Linked DNA regions of Alligator mississippiensis. The protein of the gene in region 3 purifies or fractionates together with the protein of the main gene of each other region. This does not show direct contact. Links are inferred from orthologs where the notes say so. Each region holds a gene or a part of one and is shown on either strand. Other genes may lie near its edges.

What was found.
Region 1: the proteins of DHX15 (region 3) and SF3B2 purify together in Homo sapiens (co-immunoprecipitation; 3 studies listed by BioGRID and IntAct, with this or other methods). This does not show direct contact. The link is inferred for Alligator mississippiensis from reciprocal best matches to the Homo sapiens genes DHX15 and SF3B2.
Region 2: the proteins of DHX15 (region 3) and CHERP purify together in Homo sapiens (co-immunoprecipitation; 3 studies listed by BioGRID and IntAct, with this or other methods). This does not show direct contact. The link is inferred for Alligator mississippiensis from reciprocal best matches to the Homo sapiens genes DHX15 and CHERP.
Region 4: the proteins of DHX15 (region 3) and SF3A3 fractionate together in Homo sapiens (co-fractionation; 3 studies listed by BioGRID and IntAct, with this or other methods). This does not show direct contact. The link is inferred for Alligator mississippiensis from reciprocal best matches to the Homo sapiens genes DHX15 and SF3A3.

The regions. Positions count from the first base shown.
Region 1 is NC_081838.1:5,518,960-5,526,257, forward strand, and holds the start of SF3B2 (splicing factor 3B subunit 2), read right to left. Parts: upstream 3,002-7,298; 5' UTR 2,979-3,001; coding exon 2,846-2,978; intron 2,738-2,845; coding exon 2,691-2,737; intron 2,426-2,690; coding exon 2,345-2,425; intron 1,577-2,344; coding exon 1,331-1,576; intron 875-1,330; coding exon 830-874; intron 1-829. UniProt on the Homo sapiens protein: Component of the 17S U2 SnRNP complex of the spliceosome, a large ribonucleoprotein complex that removes introns from transcribed pre-mRNAs.
Region 2 is NC_081839.1:375,304-383,182, forward strand, and holds the start of CHERP (calcium homeostasis endoplasmic reticulum protein), read right to left. Parts: upstream 3,009-7,879; 5' UTR 2,902-3,008; coding exon 2,877-2,901; intron 2,706-2,876; coding exon 2,532-2,705; intron 2,063-2,531; coding exon 1,881-2,062; intron 456-1,880; coding exon 318-455; intron 1-317. UniProt on the Homo sapiens protein: Involved in calcium homeostasis, growth and proliferation.
Region 3 is NC_081825.1:39,040,073-39,047,723, forward strand, and holds the start of DHX15 (ATP-dependent RNA helicase DHX15), read right to left. Parts: upstream 3,009-7,651; 5' UTR 2,931-3,008; coding exon 2,860-2,930; intron 1-2,859.
Region 4 is NC_081829.1:1,211,985-1,219,121, forward strand, and holds the start of SF3A3 (splicing factor 3A subunit 3), read right to left. Parts: upstream 3,013-7,137; 5' UTR 2,984-3,012; coding exon 2,888-2,983; intron 2,119-2,887; coding exon 2,071-2,118; intron 1,230-2,070; coding exon 1,177-1,229; intron 143-1,176; coding exon 37-142; intron 1-36. UniProt on the Homo sapiens protein: Component of the 17S U2 SnRNP complex of the spliceosome, a large ribonucleoprotein complex that removes introns from transcribed pre-mRNAs.

The DNA.
Region 1 (7,298 bases), on a different chromosome or scaffold from region 3:
AATCAGAGATCATTTGCTGGAATATTAGAACCAGCCACCTACAGACGTGGGGCGTAAGCTAAAGGGGAGCCTGTAGAGCTCAGCAAATTCAAGTCCTGCCAACCTACATGCCACCCTCCAGCTCAATTCTCCCTACAGGTGGGCACCTATGGTGTGTTGTCACAGCAGCCAGCCAGACTTAGGGATAAGCGTTTGTTTTTCTGTGTTTCCAGGTGCAAGCAAAAAAATATCTAGCTGCAGACCGATTTCTGCTTTTTATCAGTAGCCAACCTGCAAGGTTACCTGTAACCTGGGCAACTGGGGGGGGGGCAGCCTTATCCAGGGGAATGTGGTATATGAAAAGAGGGTATTCTGCTTTCTTTCTGCACCTGAGTACCATCAGATATCTCTGTCCCGCACGGAGTACAGGTTTGTCTCGACAAGGACCTCAGTGTGTGGCAACAGCTTGATGGCAGAGCTGGGATGAGGCTGGTAAAGGGGGCAAGGGGACCCCACAGACCATTGGTAATGCACAGGGGGTGCACATGCACCTGGGATTGGTGGTGCACGCCCTGAAAGCAGCTCTGCTGATGCTGCCGGAGGCACCTGTGGGTGGTCACCACTCCCCACCCACCCCCCTTGCCACCAACACTGCCAGCAGCATCTGCGGGCGGTCACCAATCACCGCTGATGCCACCGCCCCCTGCAGGAGCTCCCCGCTCGCTGCCATGCCCCCACTGCCTGCAAGCAGTCCCCGTGTCCCCCCCAGTCTCCAGGGGCATGCATCATTTATGCCAGAGACCGTGCTGCTACCCCACCCACCCAGTAGTACATGCCGCGGGAGACTTACCCGCTTCTGTTGCTCCAGCAACTCCTGCTCCTTCAGCTTGTCCCCCTGTGAGAGAACAAGGCATGAATGGGTAGGCACCAGTATACTGGGGGAAGAGAGGGCTGGGGGCACCAGGATGGAAGACCACAGCCCACAGCAGTGCCAAAGTGCAGGGCAGCTGGGTCTGATCCTATCCAGAGCTCAGGGGGAACAGGGCCCTCCGCCCAGCCCTGGGATGTGGCTGGCTCTGGGGCAAGTGTCGGGGCTGGGGATATGAGGCCCAGACTTGGGATGTGGCAAGCTTTGGGGCTTGGGATACAGGGCGCCTTGCCCGGCCCCAAGATGTGGCCAGCTCCAGACTAGGAGAGCAGGGCTGAAGATACAGACACCCCAGCAAGCCAAAGACCCACCGCATGCCCTCCTGACCAACAATGCCCCTCTCCAAACCACCCAAGACAGCAGCCCCACAGCTGCTCCCTGTAGCCCCCAGCCCACCCCCCCACACCACAGCCCCCAGCTGACCTGCTTGGCCCGCTCTTCCTGCTGCATGATCATGGCAGCCTGCTGCTGGGCCAGCTTGAGGCGCTCCTCCTCTGAAAGGGCCACGGGGTCCACACTGGGGACACGCAGGGGAGGTCCCATGGGAGGTGGCGGGGGTGGCCCCACCCCCATGGAGTAATTGAGGCCCATGCCTGGTGGCGGGGGAGGGGGCGGTGGAGGCTGCATGGGCATCCCCATCGGTGGAGGGGGCATCGGGATCCCCGAGAGCTGTGGAGGGAACAAGAGAGACAGGTAAGAAGGAAAGCACAGGCTGTCTGCCAGGATGCAACCAGCTGTGGGGTGGATGCTGGGGACTGAATATAACAGAGATGCAGCTGGCTTGAGGCAGGGAGTTGGGGCTCGGGTCCCCTTACCCCATTGCTGGAATGCAGCTGACTCTGGGGTGGGCAGTGGCGCTGGACATACAGGGCCCCTCGCTCGGATGCAGCTGGCTCTAGGGTGGCCATCCCAGCTAGGAAAGGGATACCTCAGCCAGCACCGGGATGCAGCTGGCTCTGGGGATACAGGACCCCTTGTTTGACAGTGGGACACAGCCAGGTCTGAGGATACACTGTGGCCAGCTCTGGGGAAGCGGGAGTGGGGGCCATCAGGACCGAGGGTCCAGGACCTCTCACCTGGGACTGGGATGTCGCTGGCTCTGGGGAGAGCATCGGGAAGGCCCCTCACCAGGATGCAGCCAGCCCAGGTGAAGGGGGGTACGGGTGGGGGGGGGCTCAGGATGCCTGGCACAGCTGCTCATTTTGGTGTCCCATGCCCTGCCTCCTCAGGCCTCTCGCTCTTCACTTGGATGCGGCCAGCTCTGGGTGGGGGGTCGGCGCCAAGCACACAGACCGGCAGCATGACGCCCCCCCACCCAACCGAGGGGCTCGAGGCGACAGAACGGCCTCCTGTGGCTCCTCCACGGGGCCAGGCTTCGCACCCCACGTCGGTATCTGTGCCAGGGACCCCCCCGCCCAGCTTCGACACCCTCCTTACCGGGCCCGTGCGTGGCGGCGGCGGGGCAGGCTTGTCGCCATCCTCTCCTCTCAGGACCGGTCTGCTCAGTACGATGCCCGTCTGAGGGAAGGACACAGGGTGAGCAGGGGCAGGACGGGTCTCGGGGGCCCACGGTGGCTTCCCTGTGCTCCTCCACCCGCCCGGGAGGGGCAGGGCAGGGGCGCAAGGGCACAGGTGTAGGCGTCAGGGCTTGGGTTACAGGGATGAAAGGCTCGTGCCCCCTTCCCCCACCTAGCTGCCCACCCCCAGGCCTGGCCAAGGCTGCCGGGCAGGTGGGGTCCAGCCCATGTTCACGTGCTGGAGAGGTGCGGGGGCGGGGGCTCACCTGCAGCGTGTAGGTCTGCAGCCGCTCCACCAGCTCCTCGCGGCTACCTGCGCACACGGGCCGGGTCAGAGCGGCGGGGCCCGGGGGTAACCCCTCCCCCTCCCCCTCCTTCCCGGGCAGCCCCGGGCCCCGCCGCACCCCCTCCCCCTCCTGACCCTGCGTGGGGGCGCCGATCTCGGCCAGCCGGGCCTGCAGCTCGGCGGGGGCCCAGGCAGCGTATCCCGGCCCGGCCGCGGGCCCCGGCGCGGGCAGCTCGGCCGCGGGCGGCTCGGGGTGCTCGGCCGCCATCTTTGCCGCGCGCAGACCCGGCCGCCACGCACTGCGCAGGCGGTGCGCGACAGAACCTCCGGCGGGCGCGCGCCGATGACGTCAGGGACAAGGGCAGTGCCGCCCGGCCGGATGGGAGCTGTAGGCCGGCTGGGGTGCCGCCGCGCATGCGCTTCCCCGCGGACGGGGCGGGAGGGTGGCCACCCGCGGCTCGTGGCGTGTGCGCATGTGCGGGGGTGGTTCCGCCCCCAATCCCACGGCCCGTCCACTGCTCCTCCCCCCGAACGCCCTTCCCTCCTCTCCCCCACTGCCCAACCCCTCCCCACAGTCCTCCCAGCCCCCTCCCACTCGCCCAGCCCTGCCCCTCCCCCGCTGCCCAACCCCACCCCAATCCCCCCAGCCCCCTCCCGCATCCTTGCCCATCTCCCAATGCCCCCCTCCCCTCCCCCAGGGCACCCAGCCCCTTCCCCACCCCCGCCCCACCCCCCACCTTGCCCCCAAGACCCTGTCCCTCCTCCTGCCCCCCCATTCCCAGACCCCCTCCCTCCTCCTGCATTCGGTTGGCACGAGAGACGTGTTCACAAGTCTGTGCAAGAGCTCCGTGCCAGTTTGCACACAGCTTGCACGGGGGAGGTGCTCGCCAGCGTGTATGAGGTGCACGCGCCTGGTTAAATTCGGCTCACGCAAGAGACACATTCCCAAATCCACGCAACAGCCTCGTGCCAGCTTGCACGAGGGAGGTGCTCACAAGCGTGCGCAAGGGGCACACGCCTGGCTGCATTCTCCTCTCATGACAGGCCCCATCAGGAGCGCACGGGAGAGCCACAGCCCTGCTCGCACATGGCTCACACGAGGCAGGTGCTCACAAGCACGTGCAAGGGGCAGGCATGTAGCCTCATTCAGCTCGCACAAGAGGCACGATCACAAGTCCTGTGTCTCCCGCAAAGGGGCGTGAGGGGGCATGGCTCTGGGCGCTCAGGTCACACTTCCCCAGCACCTCCACCCGGGGCCAGGATGGGGCCTGCAGCCAGGTCTCCCGTGATGGGATGGATGATGACCCAGCCATGCCCTCGGGATACCCCGTGGTGGCAAGAACCCTGGCTCCACAGCGCCCGCTGCAGGGAGAGCTCAGCACAGCCTGATCTGCTCCCCCTCCCACACACCAACCAGCTGCCAGGTCTCCAGCCCTGGTGCCCTCCCCACAGCCCAGCCTGTGGGTGAGAGCCCAAGTCCAGACCCCCAGGGTGTGGACTGCAGGAGGTGAACCCGACCTGGGCCTGAGCCAGGGCTGGGGGAGGACACAGCTGGAACTGCCCCCCCCCCCCTGCACTGGGCGCGTGGGGATCTCCCAAGCCCTGGGTAATCGCTGGGTCTCAGGGCTCTATTGGGGGGCAGTAGCAAACTCCTGGGGGTTAGCATTACCAGATATGCAAAGGATTGTGGGTACTGGGGGGGCATAACAGGCTCCTGGGGGTGGTGTGAGCTGGGGTGGGCATAGCCAGGCATGCAAAGGGTTGTGGGTAATGGGAGAGTGCCTCTGCCTCCCCCAGCCTCCTGCCCGGCAGTGAGCACCAACAGCAGGTGACAAGTGCTTTAGCAATGCGGTGACATCACCTCCTGGGCTAGCCTTCAAGCTGCCAGAGCCACCAATGAGGGCTTGGCACTACCCCCACTGCCTGTTAGGAGTCATAGTCCTCAGTGCCTTTGCATGCTAGGACCTGTAGTTCTGAGGGGGGTGGGCACAGGGCAGCCCCAGCTCACAGGGGGCGCTGGAGCCCCACCTTCTGCCCTTAACTCTGCCCCATCCATGCCCCACATTGCAGCCTCTGCAGGAATTTGAACCCACAGCTCCTGCTTCCTGGTCCAGGGCTGATGAAAGCAGCCCCTGGGGTGGGAAGGGAAGGCCATCCGCCCCCTGCCCCGTGGAGACTGCAGTTTTGGCCCCAGTGGGGCAGAGAAACCAGGAAGCAAGACCCCACACCCCGCTCTGGAAGGACCCTGGGGTGCTGGGTGCTCAGCGCGGAGCGGGACAGCCCTTTCCAGCCAGCACTAGCCACACGCTTTCTGTCTTCACCGGAAAGGCGGTGCCGGGACACGACTGGCTCTAGGGTGGGGAGTCGGCAGCAGAGTATAACAGGTGTGGGGGCACCAGCTCTGGGGGGCACCCAGCTCTGGGGGCGCCTTTGAGCAAGCCCTGCCTAACCGGGCTGGGGGCTCAGCCCAGCTGGCTAATGACTTCATTAGTGATCACGAGGGTGGGACGCTGCCTGTGGGTCCAACTGGTGCCTGGCGGGGGCAGCTGGGGGGGGCGGGGGGGATGTTGTCATCTAGGGAAGGAGCCGCCCCAAGATAAGGTACAGCAGGAGCTTTGGGGCCCAGCACCAGATAAGGCTGGAATGTGCGTGTGTGGCCCTGGGTCGCCAGCATGGGATTGGCCAGTGGTGATGTGTGGCCACGCGGGATTGGCTCATGCCAGGGCGGATAAGAGACTGGTATAAAAGCGCCCCCACCCCCAATCTGGGCCACCCCCCAGTGGGAATGTCCCCTCTTGTCCCTTGCCTCAGTTTCCCCTGCCACCCCCTGAATCAGCTCATTGTCTCAAGGACGTGACCCAGGGTCAGAGGCAGGAGCCAGCGGAGGCCTGGAGCCCAAGGGGTCACGAGCTGGGGGTGCAGGCAGGGGTGGGCGGGATGTGGGAACTGGGCACTGGGCAGCCCAGGGAGCAGCCCTGGATCAGAGCCTGGCTCAGCCGCCCTTGATCGGGGGCCGCGATGTGCAGAGACATCTCGGCCGGGCTGGGCCTGAGCGCTGAGCCCCACCGGCCAGGCCGGGGCCTCCTCTGCACTGCTGGTGTCAGCTCTGCAGAGGCGTGGGAGCCATCTTGACAGCGGCTGCAGCACAGCGTCTCCCTGCTTCTATTCCAGGCTGCCCCAGGCTGCAGATGGGACTCGGACCCAGGTGCTGCCTGTCGCTGCACCCTGGGGCTGTTGTATAGCACAGGGACACATCTGGGGGTTGGGACAGGGCCTCGGGCATGGGCTGGGCTGGATGGGACTTCACAGAGCCTGTCTGGAGGCCATGGGCCAAGCCGGCCAGGCCATGAGGAGTTTCCCTGCCTACCCCCCATGCAGCTGCCTCCCAGGGCACTAGAGTTCCAGCTGAGACCAGAGCGACTGGCAGCCCTTGGGGTACAGAGAGAGGGAGTGTGGGATACCTGGAGGCCTGACACCCCCACCTTTCAGGGCTCTGCCTCTGCCATGAGCCCCTCCGTGCCCCCTCCCCCTCCAACACGGGTCTGAGCCCTGAGCCGGGAGCCGGGAGCCCATCGCCCTGGAGGCCTGGCCGGGTGGGCGGAGAATTCCCAGGCGAAGACGGCGCTGGACCGCTCAGGCATCCCCTGGGAACGTGGGCTGCACACTGGGCCCATTGTGTGATCCCAACCCGAAACACGATCGCGGCTCAGGGAGGAGCAGAGTCCTACAGGCAGCCGGGGCCGCGGGGCCCTCGCTGGTTGTGGATGCTCTACAGGGCTCTGGGTTTCCCAGCCCACGGGGGCCTGGGCTCTGGGGTATACAGCAAGCAGGTTGGAGCTGGGCCAAGGCCCTGTGCCCCAGCCCCACCCCAGAGCCGCCCCCCCCTTTCCCACTGAGCCATCTCCGCCCACTCTGCCCTACTGCCCTTCCTGCTGTTGGGCCTCTGCTCAGAGCTGCTCTTTGTTCAGCTGAAGCCTTCTTTATGTAGGGGAATGCAGCCCCTTGCCCTGCGGTGCCCCTCACTCCCTGCCTCTCCCCTCCTCACTCCCGACCCACAGCCCCCTGCCTCCCCCCTCCTCACTCCTGACCCGCAACCCCCTGCCTCCCCCCTCCTCACTCTCGACCCGCAGCCCCCTGCCTCCTCCCTCCTCACTCCTGACCTGCAGCCCCCTGCCCCCAGCCCTGTTGGTACCCACCACTCCTGACCCTCAGCCCTCTGCCCCCCCATCCCTATCAGTGCCCCTCACTCCTACCCCACTTTGCTCCCCTCCCCAAGGTGTAAGAGAACCCAGGCATCCAGGCTCCCAGCCTCTCCCCCCCTCCCCCTCCCCCTCCCCCACTGTGCTCTGGGTATAGGTGGGCACAGGGCTGGGGGGGGGGGCAGGGAGCCCTTACCTGGCTCCCGTCTGTATCATCCCCCTTGCCCACATGGGGGCACCCGGCTCAGCCCCGCCCCCACCTGGTAGAACAGGTTTGACTGAGCCCTCGCCAGGGCCTGGGGGGGAACTGGAAGGGAACCTGAGCCCCTGGGAGGGGGAGGGGAGGCTAATCCTGCCTGGAGCATGCCTAGGACCTGGGAGAGCCCAGG
Region 2 (7,879 bases), on a different chromosome or scaffold from region 3:
GAGCTTTCCCAGTTGTACTATGAACTAGGGACTGACAGTATCTTTAAGTAGCAATTCCGCCCCATCTGCTGTTTCAACGCCTCAAGGTTGGTGGTCCAGGTTACAGGCTGTCACTGTGCACTGAAGAGCTGCCAACAAGCTGCCCATGAACAGAACAGACAGTTTATGACACCACGTGGAATTAACAACAGCGGCCCAATCTTTTTACATTAAAACAATCTCCTCACACTACCTGCCTCTGCGCTCATAACAAGCGAGAGCGAGTCACCTCCGAAGGCAAACACGGAACGTACAGATAAGTTTAGATGCTTACTTACTGAGATTGCGTCTTTTGTACATGTATCAATTATCGGCTGTAGCAAATTGTCAAATTCATTCATATCTAGCTGGGTCTCCTCCAAGACTTTCTGCATTTGTTGTTCAATTGCAAGGGCTACTGCTGATGTAACTTGTTCCTGAAAAAAAGCTGAATTTTAATACACCCTATATTCTTTGGGCATAAAAACTCAACAGAAACATTCAAATCACTTTAGCCACAGGAGCGGCTTAATACCTTTAGAGGCCGTATTTTCTATTCACAGTGGGAGAAGCATAGCTATATTTCAGCTGGTTATCACCGTCGCCTTTCCCTGGTCTACCATGAGAAAACCTCCCAGTTGCTCTAGCCCAGGGGTGGGCAATTATTTCTGGTGGAGGGCTGCTTACTGAGTTTTGGCAAGCCATTGAGGGCTGCATGACAGGCAGCCAGGGGCAGATAAATATATAGTTTTTTAATTTCTTAGGGGCCCTGTGGGACAGAATGGCCTGGCAGGCCACGTTTTGTGCACCCCTGCTCTATCAGGAAACAAATAAGGGCCTCTAAAATGTTGCTGAAGGCCTAACATAAGCCCATACTCTTTCTCCAGAGAACCTTTAGTGAGGTAGGTACCCTGCACCTTTAACAACGAACCATCGCTCCCAAAGTAATTCTTTTGTGAACAACCTTTCATCTCAGCCCCAAATCAGTATTTAAATAAAAAACGCAGCATGTCATGCTTGGGTGTGTAGTCACAGATTTCATAGACATCCGGGCTGGAAGGGACCTCGGAAGATCGAGTCCAGCCCCCTGCCACAGGGGCCGGAAGTCAACAGGGATCATAGAATCCCAGCAAAATAAATATCCAATTTTCTCTTGAAGGTGTTCAAAGTGGGTGCTTAAACTACCTTTGGCAGCAGCCTATTCCAAACTTTGGGGGCTCGGACAGTAAAGAAGTTCTTCCTTACGTCCATCCTGAAACGGTCATGGAAGAGTTTGTGACCGTTCGACCTGGTCATCCCCTGTGGCACTCTGGTGAACAGACGTTCCGCCAGATCCGGTTGGTCACCCCTGATAAACTTAAAGGAGGCCGCCAGATCACCCCTGAGCCTGCGCTTTTCCAGGCTGAAGAGTCCCGTGGCTCTCAGCCTCTCGTCATAAGGTCCGTTTTCCTGACCTCTAATCATGTGCATGGCTCCTCTGCACCCTCTCAAGCTTCTCCACATCCTTTCTGAATTGTGGAGCCCAGAATTGGATGCAGTCCTGACAAGCCACAGCACCATGTCAAAGTTGAAGATAATTGCAACTCGCTCCAGTTTATGGAGGACCACCGTGGTCTTCACACTCCTGGCGAATTATAAATGGGGTCTCAGCAAAGCAATGGCTAGTTACTTCTGCTCTACGGAGTCTATTCTTTCTGTTCTGCAGCTGATGCCATACATGAAGTGATGCCAGCTCGCATCGTCCTCCTCTGGCAAGACACTAAGTTTCCTCATTCGGGTCATCGTTCCAAGCCATGCAACCCTGCAGCCGCACAACCGCCGCTTGGCGCATCAGCGGGGCTCACGAGCCGCCTCAAGCCTACCTGTCTCATCGCAAGGAGGTGCTGCTCTTGCTGCTGCAGGTTCCACTGGCTCTGCTGAATGAGCTCCTCGACCGAGGGCGCCCCTTGAGGAGCTGGGAGAGCAGCCGGCGGGGGCAGCGACGGCTGTGACAAAGGCTGGATCTGTGCAGTGGTTTCAATATCTTGTGTTTGTTTGCACAACACTGACAGGAAGAAAACACTCACTTTCAAGATAAAAGACAAAAGCCCTTTTAAAACCATGTACAACCCCAAAGACACAGACTATTCCCACGTTAGCTCCATAAGCCAAACCGCCCTCTCTCTCTCCTAACAGGAAAGGGCAGGTCGAACCGTGATGCGCTCCCAGCGGTTTAATTCAGCTCCGTTTGTAAAGCGCTCTGGTCAGGCCAAAACCAGCTTTCCAGAGAAGCGGCACGGGTACGTCTGCCGGCACGTTTTCAGACTCGCGGAGCTGCCGCGGCGTCTCCGAAGACGCGCAGGGCAGGCGAGGCAGTGGGCGCGACAGCACGGGGTGCGCGCCTGAGACAGGGCCCAAAGCGCCAGCTCCGCGCAGCTGCGCCCGCGCCCCCGAGGCTGCGCCCGCCGGGGGGGAAGGTGTGCGCCAGCCGCCCCCGAGCAGGGCCCGCCTCCGGCCCCGCCCGCCGCACTCACGCTGCTGCTGCTCCAGCGCCAGCTTGTACTTGTAGTAGCCGTAGAAGTCGCCGCCGAAAAGGAACGAGAACTTGGGGTTTTCCTTCTGCTTCTCCATCGTCATCTTCTCGAACTCGGGCCCGTTCCGCGCCACGAACTGCGCCAGCTTGTCGATCACGTTCCGCAGCTCCTGGTCTGCGGCCACAAACAGGGCGGCTCGACCGCGCTCGCGGGCCCGGCCCGGCCCGCCCCACCCCACCCCACCCCACCCCCGACAGCCCGCCCGCCCGCCCGGCCACCCCCGCCCCGCCCCGCCCCGCCCCACCAGGACTGCCCCGAGCGCCTCGCAGCCCCCACGCCCCTCACCGTCGGGCGGCAACGGCATCTCCATGGCGGCGGCGGGGAACGAGACGCCGCAGCCCCACGATCCCGCTAGGCCTCAGCGGCCGGAAGTGCCGCGAAAGGCTTGACGGCACTGGGCGCCGCGCTTTACGGCCCCGTCGCTATGGAAACGAGGTCACGGCCGCGCGCCCCACGCTTGCGTCACGACGCACAGCCTTCCGCGCGCGCCCCGCCCCCCGGGAGGAAGTGCGGAGCGGCCCTGGCCCCGGCCTCACCCCGCCCCCCCTGCGCGCGCGGTGCTGCGGAAGTGGCCGTTATGCGGCGTGCACGTGTCCAGGAAGTACGTTACAGAGCACGGGCTAAAGGCGGGCCTGGTCACGGGCGTCCCGTCCGCACCGCATGCGCGAGGCGGGGCTGGGTCCCCGTTTCGGAAGTAGACGGACGCCGGCCCGGCCCGGCCCGGCCCCCTGCGCCCCACTCGCGTTTCTGCTCCTCGCTGCCTGCAGCGCCCGGAGCCGCGGGGAGCCGCCAGGGCAGCGCCCCAGGAGCGGCAGCGCTTGCACAAACGGGAACGGAAAACAGCCCTAGCGCCGCGCCGCGCCGCCCCGCCCCGCCCCGCAGCCCTCCCCCTCCTCCACAGCCGCGGGCGCAGGAAGCCGGACCGTGCGGCCCCGGTCCAGGAGGAGGAAGCGCGGAGCCCAGGCAGGGAAGCTGCCCCGGCACCCGAGCCCCTCCTCCCCCTCTCTCTCTATTCGCTAAAGGTCTTTCCTTACCTCCTACAGTTCAAGGGGACTGGTCCGGTTTCGTTTCAGAGTCTCGGACGCATCCTTTTGTACTCGAGCTCTCAGGGCTGCAGGGGAACAGGTCATTCTCTTCTCCATCGCATTTGTTGTTACGGCTTTTAACGTTCATCCTGGCTTCTGGCAGACACAGAAGAACGCCACGCCCGCGGCCAGGCCCGGGGGTCTCAGCGCCGTCTCTCTCCCGTCCCGTAGAGGCCTTGCTCCTTCTTCCAAAAACAGACCATCTTGCTCCTTGTGAGAGCTTGAAAAATACCTTGCTGAATGCCCCGCTCTGGTAACAGAGTACTTGAAAATCCAGTCTCTGGGGCCAGCAGGAACTTGGCTCCAGTTAAAGAGGGGAGGGAGCCAGCCTTTTTGCTAAGCGTACCACTAGTTAAGCCTTACACCCTTACGGACCGCCACTCCGCTTTCTGTTCCCAGACCCGCGCTCCCTGCCTCATCTGCGGCTAGCACCAGCGTGGCTGGGTACCACATATGAACCTTCGGGGGCAGGGATTCGAGTGTTGACCCGCCTAGCTAAAGGGCAAAACATCCTTAAGTTTCTCACAACAATCCCGAGGGGTGCCTGCAGCATCACCAGCCATGAAACACGGATGTGAGCAGAGGGAGATCCTCTGCTACGGGACACACAACAGCACAGGGTAAAGCGGCTGAAGAAAGAACCAGAAAGATTCCGTTGCAAATTCACATTCTTTTCTATTCCGAGTGCCAGATCTCATAAGCAAGTTTTTGGTAATACACAGAGATACTCTAATTATACATTAAATTAATCCATGAAGTGTCAGCATGGGGAAAACATATAATGAAACCTTTTCTTGTGCACCAAGTACGAACGGTTAATATTTACACAACGTTTCATTGCAGTCCCGTGATTTACATATATCTATTTACCTTACCAGGTGCGACAGCCACCACGTAGCTATCCTAGCAACAAAAAACACAAAAGAAATAAATAGAAACCCCCAAACCCGTTTACAACAGTGCAAAGACACGTCGTTTTACAGAGAACAGGAAACACCAAGCTTTTCTACTGCGTTTAAGGTACAGTAGAGAAGTGGATCAGGACTCTCATTACTTTTGAAAGACTAATTTTTTTGATCTGCTGGTCACCCAGAGTTGATCTAACTTGACCAGTGTCATTTTTGCAAGAGCCCTAAGCTAAAAGAATACAATTTTGTCTCGATTTCAGTCACTGTTCAGCTCTTCTAGATAACTATACAAGACGCATCAATGTTCGACAGACTCAGATAAGGATACCACTAGTTACCATTTGGTGTCATAGCTGAACTTGCTAGGAAGAACTTTTCAAGATAAGAAGCACCAAATTCTTTGATGAGCTCAGCACAACTGCAAAACCCACATGTGGTTGTATCTAGTACATTTTTGGGAAAAAGATTCCTCAATTCTGTGATTCTGCAATGTAGTTACAGACAGGCTCTGGGACTCAGGAGATAGCTACAATTACAACCTTTGGCAAATGTCCATGCATTAGTTATGGAGACACACCTGTATCCGTTTTCTTCTATGTAAACATCTGGTAGTGAATTATACAATAAAAATATTGTAAAACATTAAGCTAAGTTCCCCAGATTGCTATTTTTTCCACTTATTTATGGTACTCCAAAGGTGTACTACAGGTAAAAAAAAAAAAAAAAAGTATTCCCCCCACCTTTCCTTTAATATTAGGGTCATTATATACGATTGTCTACATATGCCCTTTTTATTCCAGTGTTTTCATACTTTCTACAGGCTTATATACAGAGTTAAATGTGTTACTAGTTTACAAACCATGTTAAAACTAGACAAATGTTTCACCTTGTTAAACAAAAATCTTGAAAGGCTTAAGATTAAAATACAAGTTTTAACAATATCAGAAACTTCCTTTACCTGACTGTGGGCTCTATTGCTTTGGGACTTTGGTGAGGAGTCTCCTTGAGTGCCTGAACCAGAGTCAAGTCCCTTAACTCTTTCCATTAAGATGTAATTGTACAACAAAACCCCTGCTGAGTATAAACTCTAAACTAATGAGGCATGACCAAAGGCCACACTGTCATGTTCAGAGCCTTCAGCGGCCTGTTTCCCGGCTCCCGGAGAGAATCCCCACCTCTTGCACTGCACGTTGCAGTAGTTTTGTTCAAAGGAGATAAGAAAGCCAAAAGCCCCAGGTGGAATTTGCAGGAGTCCGACAAGGTATTTATTCTCTGGAAAGCGCCCTGCCCTCACTTGCCAATACACACCTGACCTGTCAGCCCAAGTCCTGCTGCCTCAGAAAGGTCTTATGAAATGACCTAGCTGCATGCTTCAGGAAATAAGCTGCCCAAGGGTGTTTAAGGCAGTCTCTAGTCTAGAAGAAAATGAGATGGGAACCGTGCCTTCCTCAAAGGGATGATTCACATTAGTACTAAGATAGTACGATGGTGGTAGGCACACCAGGAAAAGCAGACATGAGAATGAGATAGCTTTATGCATTTCTATGCTTCCCCCACCATCCCCCAATCACTGCAGTATCCCAGTACAGCACCCCTGAGGTAGGGAAGAATTATCCCCATTCTATAGATGGGGAATGGAGGCACAAAGAATAAAATTAAAATTGTCAGTGATCTTCAAGAGCTATGCACCCAAATCCCATTGAAAACAATGTAACTAGACACCTAATCTCTTAACCCCTCAGAAAAATCTCAGCCCAAACAACTCGCCCAAAGTTGCACAGGAAGTCTGTGCTAGAGTCAGTCCAGTGTCTTAACAACCATATCATCCCTCTGTTTATGAAATGGCACTCAGATGTCAAAAGGATTTCTTAAAACACAAGGTCTGTCTTCATACTGGGTGCAAAAGCAGTTCCAACTCGACTACTACTTGGGAAGAGTGTCATGCCCAAAGCTTTGCTTAAAAGAAACTATTTTGCTACAACGGGCTTTTCCAGACTAGACTTCCAGGTCTAGACTCCATACTAGCACCGACAGACAACTCCATGAGATCAATTAAGTTCTGTTTACTTGTACCAACAGCGTCTATGACCCACTCCCCCGAAGCACCATTCTCTCCTCTGGGCCACAGCAAGAAAGATATTACACCAGTAATTTCCATAAACACCAACACGCCAAGAACGAGCTTGATTTTGAACTTACAGAGAATTGTATATATCAGTGGCTTTCAAGCTTTTTTTTCATTTGTGGACCCCTAAACATTTCAAATGGAGATGTGGGCCCCTTTGCATTGTACGTGTGGGTATTCACGCACTTTTGACTGGTCACAGTCATCTTTCGCAAGCCTCTTAGACAGTCTGGAGACCCCCAAGGGGCTGAGGACCACAGGCTGAAAACCACTGCTGTAAATAATCAAGGGGAAGGAATCACAACATTCCCTCTCTTCTACCATAGTCCATCCAGAGAATAAGGAGGGAGGAACATTCTGTAAAGCACCAAACCATTATTAAGTTGGTCACTGATACCTGGTCAACATCCAATGGGCAAGAACTTTGCATCTACTCTGCCAGGATCCCATTGTAAGATGGTTTTCTGCCAGGGAGGCAAGGCCAAAAAACCTGGTTCAAAAACAGTCCACCCCCTACACAGATGCAATATCTACCATATTTCCTTCAAAACGGGGAAAAAACTGTTGTCAGACTACCTTCAGTTGCATTAAAAGTGCAAAATGTCAGAATCCTATCCTCATTCTTCATGATTTTATGTAATTATGAACCCAAAATGATCTCTCATAAATCATTAATCAAGGTAGGGAAATTGCAGGAAGAGACAGAGCTACAGAATTACCTTTCAGACCTTAGCTGAAAGCAGAAGCCAGGTAGAACAGGCGGTAGTTTCAGCAGAACCAAGGTAGATGCTTATGAAACCACCAGGGGCGAGGTGTATAGCTTTAGTAAACAAGCACGGTGTTTGTCATCAAAAGCCACATCCTTAAACAGTCACATGATAAAACACACTTTTTCAGTTTTTTATAGGGAAATTGAACACCCTAATCCTTTTAAGTTCCTGTCTCAACGCAAGTCAACTTTATAGGGCAAATCTGGAGCAAGTCACAGGGAAAAATAAGTCACGTTGTTACAAATACTTTATTTGCCAACAAGTTTTCTATGTTGTCAGGGGGAAAAACTGATTCCTGAAAAAGTTACAAGACTTCATGATTCAGAGAATGTGAAGACTAGAGCCTTTAGCTCCGTTCCTCCACTTGTTAATAATTAAAACTGTGACAGTGACATGAATT
Region 3 (7,651 bases):
AGAGAAAAAAGAATAAACTAGAACTTGGGAAGCACATAAAAGAAACAAAAAGCAAAACCTCCAACATGCACACAAAAAATCCAAGCAAAGACACAAGGAAATCCAATGACCAAACACCAAAGTTAAAGCTATTTAAAAAGTTTAAGTACACCAAGAACAAGAGTAATCTAATAATGGCCCATTATGATTAAAGTACTCATGCAAAAGGCAGATGTCATCCTGGGCTGCCTTTTACCTGACTTTAAACTAACATGGCTAACTACCTCTTTATTCATAATTAGACATGGTAGTGAAGTGAATGATAATGCAAAAACGTAAACTGGTATTAAATCAGATGATGAAACACTTTCCACTGCAGCAATTACTTTGGATGACAACAAACAGCAGCTACTGAAGTGAGACATTTGAAATTAATAGATACAGGTCACCAGGCAATGTGCACCCAAGTAAGATGTCCAAAGGACTCTGTGGGCCCCTAATGTTGTTTTCAATATGGCTTGAAACACTGAGGAATCATAGAGAAGCAGGGCCAGGAGGGACATCCAGAGGCCATCTAGTCCATCCCTACCCAAACCATCTCACACAATCCATAATCTAAACTCTACATAAGATTACTGTCAACCCCAATGCAACAACACAGATCTAACATCCTAACCTGCCACAGGTAAAGCAGGGGAACCATGGAAGCCAATGTCCTGTTTCTGTGAAATGCTGTCAACATATGCACAACAGATCCTGGGGTAGAGGGTCATGGCCCTGTTACAGAAGAAGGCAAAAAACCCTGTAGTCCATACCAATCTGACCATCAGGTAAAATTCCTTACTGACCCCAAATATGACAGTCAGTTAGACCATGAGCGGAGGGGCTAGACCTTCTAGCCTGGAACCTCGGGCTTGGTCCCAGCAGAACTGGCACACCCTAGGAAGCTCCAAGAGACATATACATACATACATACATAAAGATGATCAAGGCAATTTTAAACCTGCCAACCCGACATCAAACTCAAGTAAAATAAATAGAACAGCCAATACACAACCCAAATTACAAATGAGAATTAAAAAAGGACAACACTATCATTTTTTACCTGACAAGTTTGGCTAATAAATGCAAAAGTGCTGATGTAATACACCAGGGATTTGTCCACCCAAGAAAGGTATTGCAAAATAAGCTCCAGTGTGACTGTAAACTGCACTAGCTGTTCCATGCCACTGCCTGTGTAAACCCTTGTAAAACATGATAATCCTATTTGCAGTGTAACTAACTCTACTTTTGAAGATGATCAACTGGGTACCAGTGTCCACTTTCATGTAATGCAAGTGGCATACAGAAAGTTGGTGCAAAAGAGTGCTCATGCAGAAAAGCCTTTAGACTTCTATAAGATACTTGAGTTGGTACTACTAACATTTACTACAAAATAAAATTAAATCAAACACACATTACATTGACTAAAAAAATTGCTAGGTGCCAAAATGTAATCATAACTGAGAATTCTCAAGCAGATGCATTCCTGGTGGACTTGCTAAGCGATTTATTCTAGGCTATTTTCGACCAGTGATCTGAAAGAAAAAAAGTTACCAGAGGCAGAGTTTGTGGATGACAGAGATCAAAGGAGTGATAAATAATGAAGAAAACAGGACACCGATTCAGAACATTTTGGATCTTTTTATAAGCTGGATTCAGGCAAACAATCCACATTCTAACACTGCCACACTTAAGGTGACATCTAGAAAACCAGGATTTAGGATATACCTCAAGATAAGAGATTATATAAGAAAGCAGAGACTCTCAACAAGACTTAGGAATCACAGTGGGACAACCCCACGAATATGAACTCCTAGTACTAGAGGGGGTTACTATGATCACTTGGGATGTCTAGGCAAGGAGTACTGTGGAGAAGACAAATTAGATTACCTTTCCATTGAGCGCCAGTACTACAAGTCAGTAAGAATGTTGAAAGAGAGGACGTTTTGGGGAAAGCGTCAGAAAACATGCCTTATGACAATTAAGTGAAGGAACCCAATCTGTTCAGTTGAACAAACGGAAGTTTCAAGGTGCAACTGGTTAGGGTCTAGAAATACTTACGCATGGAAACCAGGAACTTGGTAACAGGGCTCTTCGCTCTAGCAGAGAGGCATCGCCAAGCCATGGAAGCTGAGCGGATTCATCTGAGAAATGCTGTGTCCCTCCCCCACACCTCCCTTTTTAAATGCAGCAACACCACCACAACCCCATTTATCTCGGAGAACCAGCCTGGGCTGCATTTCCCATAACTAGACACTGTCAAGGATAGCGACTGGCTATTTCTCTAGAGGTGCCTTAGTTCAGGCACCAACTTTGAGTGAATGGAGTGAATTCAGGGAGGTCCCAAATGCCCCATACTGGAGGAGACGAGAAGCGCACTGGGGCTCGGGGCCACACAACAAGAGCAAGCGGCCGAGCCCGAGCAGGGCACGAGGAGGCCGCCAAGGGCGCAGGGAAGCGTTTCCACTCCTCTCCTGAGGCAAGAGCGACCCGGCCCGACCCGCGGCAAGGAGGCGGTCGCCCGCTGCGGCCCGGAAAGTGCGGCGAAGCCCGTCGCGTCGCTGGGCCCGGGGCAGCCGAGGCCGAGCCCCCGTTTCCCCCTCAGCGCTGGCCCGGGGCCCGGCCGGCTGCTCCCGCCGACACAGGCGCAGCGACCACCCAAGGCAGCGCGAGGGGGATCTGCCGCCAGCCGGGCAGAGCGGGGGGGAGCGCCGCCCCCTCCCCCCCGCGGAGCGCGGGCGAAGCCGCAGAGCCGGGAGGAGGCGCCGCGCGGCTCCGGGCCCGGGCGGATCAGGCGTGAGGCCGGGTCCCCACACGCCGCGGCACCGCTGCCCTCACCCGTCGGAGGCGGCGCGCTTCTTGCTGGAACTGTAGTCGTCCCCCAGGTCTAGGCGGTGGCGCTTGGACATGGCGGCGGCTCCGCTCCTCAGGCGGCGGCGGCGGCGGCAGCAGCAGCAGCAGCAGCCGCGCCGCGAGGCCAGAAACAGCGACTAAAATGGCGGCCGGAAGGAAGCGCCCGGGCGGCGCGAGACACTGGAGCTGGCGGCGCGCGCGGGGGGGACGGTGCGCAGAGCTGGCGCCGGCCGGGAACTCGGCCCCGCCGCGCGGGTTCCGCCCGCCCCGCCACTCGCCGGGGCCGAGGGAGAGCGGGCGGGCCCGGAGCATGGCCCGGCTCCTTGAGGGCCGCCAGGACTGGGCCTCGGCTGCAGCTGCCCGCCCGTGCCCCAGAGGGAGGTGGGGGTCAAGCCGCATGGACGGCACGTGCAGCGCAGGCCCGACCTGCTTGTCCCTGGGCCGAGGCCTCTGCACTCTCCTAGGGCAGCCCGTGGAAGAGCCCAGGGAAGCGGGTGATGCTCCTCGGCTCCTAAGCAGGGTCTCAAAGGGGGCACGGAGCAGAGCCCGGCACCCCCAGGAGAACACGGGCCCTGCAACACACAGCAAAGCCCCGCAGGGCGCCTGGGCTCGGGTCCCAGGGCCCCACTGGGCAGGGCCCAGTCCCTGACTCCGCCCGTGTCCCTCCGAGCGGTGAGAAGGCGGTGTCGCTGCAAGCGTAGGTCACGCGGACTGCAAAGCGCCTAGGGAGCCAGGAAGGCCTGCAGAGCGCCCCCGGGCTAGGCACAGCCCTGACAGCGAAGCTGCGGGGTGTGCTGCACCAGACGGCACCCACCTCCCAGCTGTGGAGCATCTGTACTGAGAAAGACAGCTTTGCAGTGTAACTGGGGGCTTTGGGCTTTTGCCAGTGCAGCTGTGTTGGCAAAAGACTGTGCCTCCAAGCCACCAGGGCAAATCCTGTATTAGCATGGCCCAAGAGACAGACTAAAGCCACTGTTACGTTGGCATGACTCCCCATGGGGACGGTCATATTGCTGAATAAGGGGAGTTATGCCTGTCTGGAACTGATAAATAACACCCTATAGAGATATCTTTTCAAGAAGTTCTTCAGGCCTGGGATTGTCTTCCACTATGAACTAGGGGGGACTCAGGGGTCTTAAGCATAACTGTAATAGAAAATTATTTGTATTTGAAGATATCAAATTAAATAAAATACTGTAAGTAACACTGTCCCGGGGGGTGCTGGTCACTGCTCTGCTCGGCTCCCCCACTTGGAACACTTTTTACTAACCTATGGGCTTGAATTTAGACGCTCAAGATTCTGAGTTTCTATTAAGAGTTATTGTCTAGCAAACTTTCAAGCTTACAGACAACACTGGGATATCTATTTCTGGGGTCATTGGATCTTGGCTTTACGTGGATGTGACATAATTCTAAATTTTAACTAACCAACCAAAGGCCATATTAGCATTATTTATTACTTGCGCTGCATTAGTTACACTGTGGTAGTACATAAAGGTCCCTACTCCCTTGTATTTGTGTAGATTCCTAATAATAAGCATACCGCTTTAGCCCAAACAGTTTACAATCTGAAGTCTTCATCCTGAAATTCTTTAAACCATGAAGCCTTCAGAACCTTATCTGCCTGAAAACATTGAAGTAATTAAACACATGCAATTTTTCACAGGATCAGGCCTAAATACAAGACTTGAGACAGTAACCAGGCAGAAAGATAGGGAGGACCAGGTAACAATGAGACTATTGGTAAGATGCTACTACTGACCAGAAGCACAAATGATGCAGCAGATATGCCCAAAACTGAGCATATTCTATGCATCCTCATCTTCCAAAGGAAGCTGATAAAAAAAAAAAAAAATTAAAAATACTTTGACCTACATGCATCTATATATGCACACACTTTAAAATGACTTAAACTTCAGTTTTTCCATTTCACTTTATTCTCTCTTTTTTTTTTTTAAGAATAGAGTCATACCCAAAATAAAGCCATTTTTCATCCTAATCAAAGATTGATTAGTCAGCTTCATAACCCTTTCAATAAATTTCTAGCAAGTTTCAAATTAACACAAGGACAATGAAGTGCTATAGTGGGTTGTTTCCATGGCAAGAAAATGCTTAACCCAAACCAAAACTCTTTACATTTAAAACTATTAAAACGTTTATAACCATCAAAAAAGCCCTGAAAGTTTGGTTTAAACTGTTACTTCAGTTCTGAAATGCAGCTCTGGAGACTAAAGTTCCCACAATAAACCATCTGTAAGAGATTTGTATCAAGTTGATGTAGAACTGCAGGCTGAATCTGTGTGATTATATTACTTTAAGCACCCTGGCTCCCCTGGTATTGGATACAAATGTCTTATTGTTTATTTAAAATATGCTAATTTGCGAGAGTGAAGTCTAAGAAATAGATCCAAAGAAGGACCAAGATGCTTAAACCCAAAACAACCCCACTTGGTGGCTGCTTACCTTACTAGGCACCTCCCTATTTAATTGGAAAGTCCTGTAAGCGCTTAAAATTATGCCTCTGAGCATGGGCACAGATCCAATCTGAGCAAAACACCACTTACACTTGCCTTCCCCTGATCAGAATATAGGAGCTGGATGCCTACATGCCTGGAAGGTCCCAATCTGCTAGGCCATACTCAGAGCACAGGCAATGCATACCAAGCAAACCAACCTCCTTCACCAAATGCAGTTGAGTACTTTATTTTTAAAACATGGCATGAGAAGGAAAAAAATACCAACATTTTATATGATAGCATAGCAGAGCATTTACCCAGGAAGTAAAAGAGTAAGTTCAAATCTTTCTTCAGCCTGAGGGTGATCAGACTCACTTTTCCCATCTCCAAACAGATCACTTCAATGACCAGATATCAGCAGTAGGGTAACATGGGGCACTAGCCAAGGGCAGTGCCTAAAAGGAGTCAGGAGGGGGGAACACTGGAATGGAGCTGGGGGGTACAGTACTCATCATCCCCTCATATGCAGTTGCTCTGGTTCCAACAGCAAGGGGGCAGAGCAGCAGCAATGGGGTTGATAGGATATGGTACAAAGGCAGTAAGTAGCCAGCAGAAACAGGGTGCTGCAGGAGAGAAAGGGAAGCATCAGAGGTGGTTAACTTGCCCCTTTTGCCTCCCCCCCTCCCAGCAAACTTCTGGCTGCTGCCCTTCACCACATGGTACCATGGCCCAGGGTGTAGAACTAGCTAGTTATTTCTCTCTGTATCAGCTAGGCTGGGTGGAAACCTTCTCCACCTACCTTGTTGAAGCTGGGCCACCATGCAGAGGAATGAAATGTTTGGGAGGCCACTAAGAGATTGTCATTTGGAAATGCCTTGGGGTTTGTCTGTACTGTATCTGTAGCAGGCCTTAGGGAGGGCAGGACTGAGCACATCCAACCAACCACTCGGGTCTACAGAGATGCCCCAAAGCTTGTCTGTCCACAAAGCTGACATAATCAGAGCCTGCTCTTAAGCCTTCTGTCTCTAGCAGATCTAACACCTTGTACCGGGGACTAGCCCAGTGCAGCATCACTGGCAGACTTCCAGATCAGGAGCTGGTCATTGGACTCAGGTGGAGAATGAATATTCAACCATGTCTCCCACAAGACCTATTCCAGACCAGCCCTAGTCTTCCATTATACTGTATAGGGAACCAACATTCCTAACACTGGGTTCTGGATTCCATTCTATGCTCAGCACCTTAACAATCAGGGCTGCTATATGCAATTCCTTTCTTGGATCTAGCTCTAACTGAATAAGTGGACCCTACACAAAATCCCTACAGGATTGTCATATCAACAGAGGAAATTACTTTCAGAGGCAAGCACCTCTATCAAGAATATGACAACAAACCCACACGTTCAAATATATTAGCAAAAAAGCGAATCGACTGATGTCAACAAGTGCAGCGACGAGAGCAGCAGTTTCTTGTATGTATTTACAGCAACTAAATTGTCAAACTTTACCAATAAGAATACTTAACACTTTGAATTGTTCCAGGAAATAAATAGGAAACCAGCCTACTGTTTAAAGCAAAGATGTCATGTGCTCCCTACAGTCCGTTTTACCAAGCACTGCAGCTTGGGCACAACCGAAGGCTTGTGAGTCATCTTCAAAAGATAACTCCATATACTGTTCATCATTGCAATTTAACCTAGAGATCAGAAAGCCTGGATGATATTGTCAATGTTTTACATTTGGGGGGGGGGGGGGGGGCAGATAGCAATTGCTGTGGGAAAATTCAGTCCTTGCTATCAACACCACCCAGAACACCAGAAGCAAATACAGGTCAAGAAGGACTCCTCAGCAGCATACATCATGAGAATACATTTCTCAGTAATGGGGAAAGAAGCTATGTAACCAGCCAACTGATAGCACCTCTCTCTTAGGTAGATTACATTTCAAACATAGCCAGATCCATCTCAGTCAAGCTCTTGGGTTCACTAGATACTATGCAGGCCTGACAAGGAGCAGCAGAAAAAGTTACAATAGTTGACCACAAAGCTCTAGTCTAACCTCCTCTTCTTGCAAGCTGTGAAGCAAGTACCTTCTAATTTGTGCACAAGAAAACTCCAAAAGTGGTTAAGTTTATTAGCAAGAAAAGTCAAAACTGTATTTTAAAAAGAAAGTATTTTCACTTTCTGAAGAGCAATTCAACAATACAACCATACAGGGCAGACTTTGCCATTGATTCCATTATACTAGAAACTAAGCATGAACTCCTGCTTCCAAATTTTGGCAGCAACTTGCCCAATATCTTTAAATCTCTTTACCTGGAAA
Region 4 (7,137 bases), on a different chromosome or scaffold from region 3:
GTCTCTTTTCCCCACACAAAGCGCAGGGCCACTGACCTCGTTTGGGTGCTTCCGATGAAATTCTTTGATCTGCTTCAGCCGATTATAGAATTCTGCAAACTCATTTGGCCCCGAAATGGCGCTGAGCTCCTCCTTCCGTAACCTGAGGTTCCGCAAGAAACAAGTTGAATCAAATGAGAGGGCAACAGAGGATAGGATAAGGAGCATCTACAAAGCTGATCCCATTTCTTTTCATCTCACAATTACACGAAAGATTCCCCCAAAACCGGCCATCTGCCCTCAACTAAATTTCATACGCTTAACAGTTGCACAGAGATCTCATACTCGGAAAGGTTTGGATTTGGGAGTCCAGCTCTCCTGGTCACCTATAATGCGGTAAGGTGCTCCCCAGTTACGGGCCTTCGGGTCTAGTCCAAGAAAAACACATCCATTTCACATGATAAAGAACCCAGCTCGGCAGTAAACCCAGAGCATTGGTTTAAAACGTTCAAACACAGAAGTCAGATGCCACTGGCGTGTATGATTTTCTGGAAAACCTGAATATACTAGGTCTTAAAATGAACCCGGAGAGTTTTATTAGCACCCACACATAACCACTTTGTTGGCTTTTGGACTACAATTCTCTCTGTTTGGGGTTGACTGACTTCTCAGGAGAGCAAAATAAACCTGACCTTTTGTGCACCTTCACTAACTGAATCTCATCAAGCCACTACTTCTCCAACAGGGCACTTTAGAAAATGTATGCTACAGCTGAATTGTCTCCCACCCCACGAAACATTTTGGATCAGACAGTGTTCAACAGCCCTCCGTAACAACATGCTGCTCTATGGTACTAATCAGATTGCTCTAGGATTCCCAAAGATATCCCCTGTTAATGATATATAATCAACACAAAAGTTTCCCTCCCGTCTTGGCAAGCGAGGTCAAAATCCAGGAAGGAAACTTAAGTTTATTATGGAGAAAAGAAGAAGGAAAAAGCAGAACAAAACCTCTTCTTTTTTAATCCCTAAAGGTGCGCTGATTTACATGCACTACAGCCCTGGCACTTTTTGTTCCAAGTAGGCTTTCAATACCATCAATTCCTTTGGGATCTTTGCAGAGCACAAAAGTGAAATTTATTCTGCAGAGCTTTCAGCTCTAGGAAAGGTCAGACAAGGCATTTTGGCAAACACTCACCCATCTTTGTCATCATACAAATCTCTCAGATTGCCACTCACTTCCATGTACCTCTGAGAAAAGAGCACACTACATGTCAATGCTCTGCCTGCACTTCTGCAACAAAGTACCGCGCAACAAAGTAGCTGAAAAGGCTTCCTTGAGGGCTCTCATTAGACAGAATTATCCGCTGCTCCTTTGGTACCAACAAATAAAGGCTCATTAACGAGCAATAAAAGCAACACTGGTCCATTTAGCTGCTGAAGGTGTTTCCAGGAACAGCATCACGTTTCCAAGTCATTTTGTGCTCTTCGGTGGAAGTCAGCTTATCAGTAAGGGGCTACAATGTAATATTTATGTAACTGTAAACAGCATCTCCTTCAGCTTGTTTGAGCCCGATTACCTCCTGCCCAAGGCAGGGGACCGGGCTCAAGGATCTTACAGGTCCCTTCCCGTCCTATTCTATTCCATGCAAAACTTACAGCAGCCGTACAGGTGCTGGGGCTCAAAGTAAACGCATCTAACCCACGCTCCATTTGCCCAAACCCAGGTCAACAAAATGCTTAAGCACCCTCAGGAGAACGCAGGGGAAGAGACCTTGGGGCGTCACACAAAGCACGTGCAAGAAGAGCACAAGCCCTTTTCCATTTACACTCAGAAACAGAGATGTCCGGGTGTTTAAGCGCCATCGTGGTCGGTCGTATAACAGCGCGCCGCTGGACTCCGACGGGCTGCCCACAAGGCATGGCGGGACGTCTCCCTTTTACCGCGCGTCCCGCGCCCCGCTCTGGGGCGTTTCTCAAGTATCCCCACAACGTCCCTGTCGCGCCGCGCTGCGCCGTGCCCGCTCCCTCCCGCCTCCCCCCCGGCCAGGGTGGCCCACGGGCATCGGGACGGGGCGGCGGCGGTACTCACGTCCTGCATCGCGCGCGTGCGGTGATCCGAGTTAATCTGGTCCCGTAACTGCAGCCCGGCACAGAAAGAGACACAGGGAGGGAGAGATGTTAGCGCGGCTTCACTCCCAGCTAGGAGACGCGGCTGGGCAGCGCGTGCACTCGCACACAGGGAGACGTGGCGGAGAGGTGTGTACACACACACACACACACACCCCACCACAGACACACGCGCACACCCCCATCCACAGACCCCCCCTTGACATACACACGCACGCTCACACATACCCCCATCCAGACACACCCCCTTGACGCGCACACCCCCATCCACACACCCCTTGACACACACGCACGCACACACCCCCATCCAGACCCCCCCGCTTGACACACACGCATGTACACTATACACCCCCCCATCCAGACACCCCCTTTGACACAGCACACGTACGCACACACACCATCCACACCCCATCCAGACCCCCCCACTTGATGCACACACATGCACACTATACACACACACTGCCCATCCAGACATCCCCGACACACGCATGCTACACACACACCCCATCCACAGACCCCCCCTTGACACACACACATACATGCACACTACACACACACCCCATCCACAGACCCCCCCACTTGACACACACACACACACACACACGCTATACACACACACACCATACACCCCCCATCCAGACCCTTGACACACACACACACACATGCACACTATACACCACCCCCCATCCACAGACCCCCTCTTGACACACACGCACACTATACACCCCCCCATCCACAGACCCCCTCCCCCCTTGACGCACGCACGCACGCAGGCGCACCGTGGACTTCTTGGTGAGCATCTCCTTGACCATGACGTCCATGAGCCGCTCCTTCTCCTCGTGGTAGCGCCGCTGCTGCTCCAGGATCGTCTCCATCTTGGCCCTCCCGCCCGCCGCCCGGAAGCAGCCCCGGACCACTTCCGCTTTCCCCTCCTGCCGCCCGGAAGCCGGTTACGCCACTTCCGCCTCCCTCCTTGCTGCCCCCGAGTTTACCGCCCTCCTCCCACTTCCGGCGCGCCGGCCGGAAGTCACGTGGGGTGTCCTATTGCGTCCGGACGGAAACTGCTGCTGGCGCGAAGGTTCCGCCGCAAAAAGAGCCCCCTCCCCCTCCCGCTCCGCAGGGGCTCGGCTCCAAACCCGCCAGGTGTGCACACGTGAGCGTGTGGGTGGGACACACATGCACACACATAGTCCCGTGTGGGCACATGTGCACATACACGTGAGCATGTGTGCATGAGCATGTGCACATAATGCCAGAATGTGTGTGAGTGTGCACATATGTCAGCACGTGCAAGGGTGTGCGCGTGTGCGTAGGTTCAGTGCACGGGTCCAGCGCGGTGAGACGTCTGCCACCACCGCTGCCCACGACTCGGCCCGGCCCTCTTACAAAACCGGGGGGGGGGATTCTTGGAATTTGTTAAAATTTGGGGAATTTGCAGAAAAAGACCGCGGCTCCAGCCCAGGACGTCTGAGAAACCTGTCTGAGCCTCGACACGCCCGGCCCACGAGCGGAGAAACCCGGTGTGAAATGTGAAATGTAAAAGAGGAGCAAACGATAACGAGGGGTGCAGGATGCAGAGGAGCGACCTGGCGACGGGAACCACGGAGCGACTCGCAGAGACCGAAGGACGCCGAGCCAAGGTGCCTGCACGTGCCGACGGGTGACGGCAGCGCTCGCGGAGGCGATAAACACCTCTCCTTATGTGCATTTTAGGAGCTTGGATGCATCTAGAAACGTGAAATCTCTTATTTGATCATTGGGATTCATAAACAAATAATATATATTTTTTTAAAGCAGTGGTGCCCCCCCCCCCCCCCCCCCGGCATTTGAAGCTGAATCTGGACGTTCAGGCCTGGACGCGCGTGCTCGGGTGAGCGGCGCTGGAGAAGGGACGGGCCCAGGCTCTGCCCCAGGGATTTTCCAGGCTACGATGAGAGACGGGAGAGAGCAGGGAGCTGCAGCAAACAGACGCTGGGAGCTGGAAGGATCGGTGCGGCGCCACTGCTCAGCAGGGCTCTGCGGGCGCAGCATGGTTCAGGGCAGCGCCGCCCCTGCGTAGCCGGCGGGATGCACTGACGTGCAAAGGTGCTTACTGGAAAACCCCACAAAGAGGTGATGGAAGCTGCGGCAGCGGCAGGGCAGTCAGGAGTCGCGGTGTCGACGGTGCCCATGCAGCGGGGAGAGCTCGAATGGCCTCACGCGTGTAGACGAGTAGCTCGTGTGCGTGCGGTGGCACTGGGAAGCCCAGCAGCAGCTGCAGCAAGATAGGCGCACGAGCCAGCTAGGAACATGCCCTTCGTGGCAGCATTTCCAGTTGATGCTTGAAGGGCCCTTTGTGCCTGAAGCGGTCTCATGCCTCTCCCCACAATACAGTTGGTCCAATAAAAGGTATTATTTAAAAAGAAAGAAATGCTTCTCATATATTTCCTTGTCTATCGTGGCTGCAACAACTTTAATAACAACGCCGTTTGAAATGTGGGGACGTCTCATTTATGATCAGCTGGCAGCTCTTCCCTGGAAGGGAGCGCCACGCGCCCCTTTGGCGGATAGGGAAATAGGAACAAGCGTTTATTTTGCCTCCGGCAGATGGCAAGCTTGAGCTGTCCTGGGAAAGAGCCTGCAATCAATCTCTCCCTGCTCTCAAGGTGAGATGGCTTTGGCGTTTCTTTCCCTCTCCTCGTGGGGCTGAGCTCTGGCTCCCTCCAGCTGGAGCAGCAAGAGGATGTGCCCCAGGCCGGCGGGTCAGCCAGCTGTTATCCTCTGGGCTTCCCCAGGTGTCCTGCTCCCCTACTCCCAGTGAAATGGGAGACTGAAATGGGAGCAAGTTAGAGAGCAGCTGCAGGGGAGACTGACTGCTCAGCACTGTGCAAAACTGGAGGAAAGGGGCAAGCCCAGAACCAGATAATCCAGCAGGCCCCGTTCCCAGCGCAGCGTGGGAATGCAGGTGCAAGCTGACATAGGCTGGCCCACTGCCCACAGCAAGGGGCTTCGCCAGCAGTGCCAGCCACCTCGAGCAAGCACCATGCACCGAGATGGGCTCTGCCTCCTGACTGAGTCTGCTCCAGTCCTTGCAGCCACCTACCTGCATGTGCTGCACCCCGCTCAGCTCGGGGGCATCTGAGCTGGGGTGGGAGGGAGGTTAACAGGGGGCTGCAATTCTCCAGCACCGTGTGGGCCCCTCTGGCGCTGCCCTGCCCCACTGGGGGTCTCGCCTGCCCTGTGCACAGCCAGGAGCTGGGGGCCGCGCTCTCTCCCGGCCACGTGGAGGGGTTTCAGCTGAGCGAAGCCCTCCCGCTGGCCGGCGGCCAAGCCGCCTGCAGCCCCACGCGGATGGTTCTCTCCCCAATACTGTCCATATATGGTGGCACAAGCGGCAGGGAGATGCTGCCAGTTGGATGCAGGAGCAGGAGTGACCTGCGCGGAGGCACAGCGACCTTTCTCAAGGAACAAAGACGGAGTGGGAAGGGCAGAGTCACAGGGGGGAGGCTGGTAACTCGGCCGCGGACTCGGAGCGGAGCTGGACAGCAGCCACGGGACGTGCCTGCCGGAGGGGAAGGGGCCAAGAGGGTGTTTGGGAAGGGCAGAGAGGGGGTCAGGGAGGAGCAGGGCATTGCAGCGACTCCTAACATGGGTGCCGTGCAGCCAAAACACGTGTACGTTTGCACACACACACACACCTCTCTCTCCCAGCACTCGCTTGCACGCACCATGAGTGCAGGACTCACCCACCCCCCTGCAGAGGATCCCCGCAGTGGGTCCACGTCCCTCAGGGCACACGCAGCTGGGGGTGCAGGGACACGCCTAGGGCCCCTGCTCGGGATGTGACAGCTCCCAGTCTCTGGTCACAGTTGCAGCTGTCCACCCCGGGGGCACAATCATTTGTGCCACCACATGCGACAGCCCCGGCTCCCTTCATCCCCAGCAGCTGCTAACGGCTCAGATCCAGGCCCCCTGCGCTGGCTGTGGGGTTTCTGCTTGGCCAGCGTTGCAGGGATGGGGGTGGAGGTATCCAGTCAACACCCCCCTCTCGTTACGCAGTCCCTGCCCCAAGGGATCCGGCCTTTTCCTGCCATGCCGTGACATTGCTGGCAGCTAAATTAAGGCTGATGAAAGCAGCAGCAGCAAGTGGACTGGGCACGGCCTGCCCGGGGCTCCCCTGCTCCGCTGGGAGGACGCTGCCCACTCCGGGGCTATCGCGTGCCATCGCTCTCCCACGAGCCGCCTCGGTTCTTCCCTATGAACGCCTGGCTAAAAATAAAGCCGGAGATAAGACCCCGGACTCGCCGTTCCCCCAGCCCGAGACTCCAGCCCAGGAGAGGGGAACACCTGAACCTCAAGTCGCGTCCCACCCACCCACCCCGCCGGCTCTGGCTGGTGGAGGGGCTCTCTCCGGGCTTCACCACCATAGGGAAAGCCCGTGGAGAAGGACCGAGCCTCCCGTCGCCAGTCTGCCCCGTCCTGCAGCGGGAGGTGGGGATGTCTGGAGCTGGCGCATGGCCCCCAGCCGTTGCGAAACCCGGCAGCTCTGGTTCCTGGCCAGCAATGCTCGTACGGACGTGCTAAGAGAAGGGCAAGTTGCCCCAGGGCTCAGGCCCACGGCAGGGGTGCAGGAAGCCCAGCTGGGGCATGCCCGGCCTCGAACACCCCGTCACCCCGGGGCCAAGAGCTGCACAGGGGGAGAGAGGGGTGCAGGGGCGGCTTCTTTCCCCGTCCTGCCCAGCTGCCTCTCTCCCCCTTTCCTGTTTTCCGCCAGCTCTCGGGGGACCCGTGTGCATGACATCACCCCGCCCCCTCCCGTAAATCCAGCCCCGCGCGGCGCGTCCCGTGACCCGCTCCTGACAGGGATGAAATCCAGATGTTCCCGCACGACGTGCAGCTGGGCCCTTGCCTTTTTTGGTGAAAAACGTGAGGCGCCGGAGCCCAGCTGGAAGAGGAGCCCGGGGGCCCTCTCGCCAGGAAGCCTGCTGCGGTTAAGCCCTGGGAACGGCGCAGGCTGCAGCGCGTGGGCCGAGCCACGAACCAGTGGCTG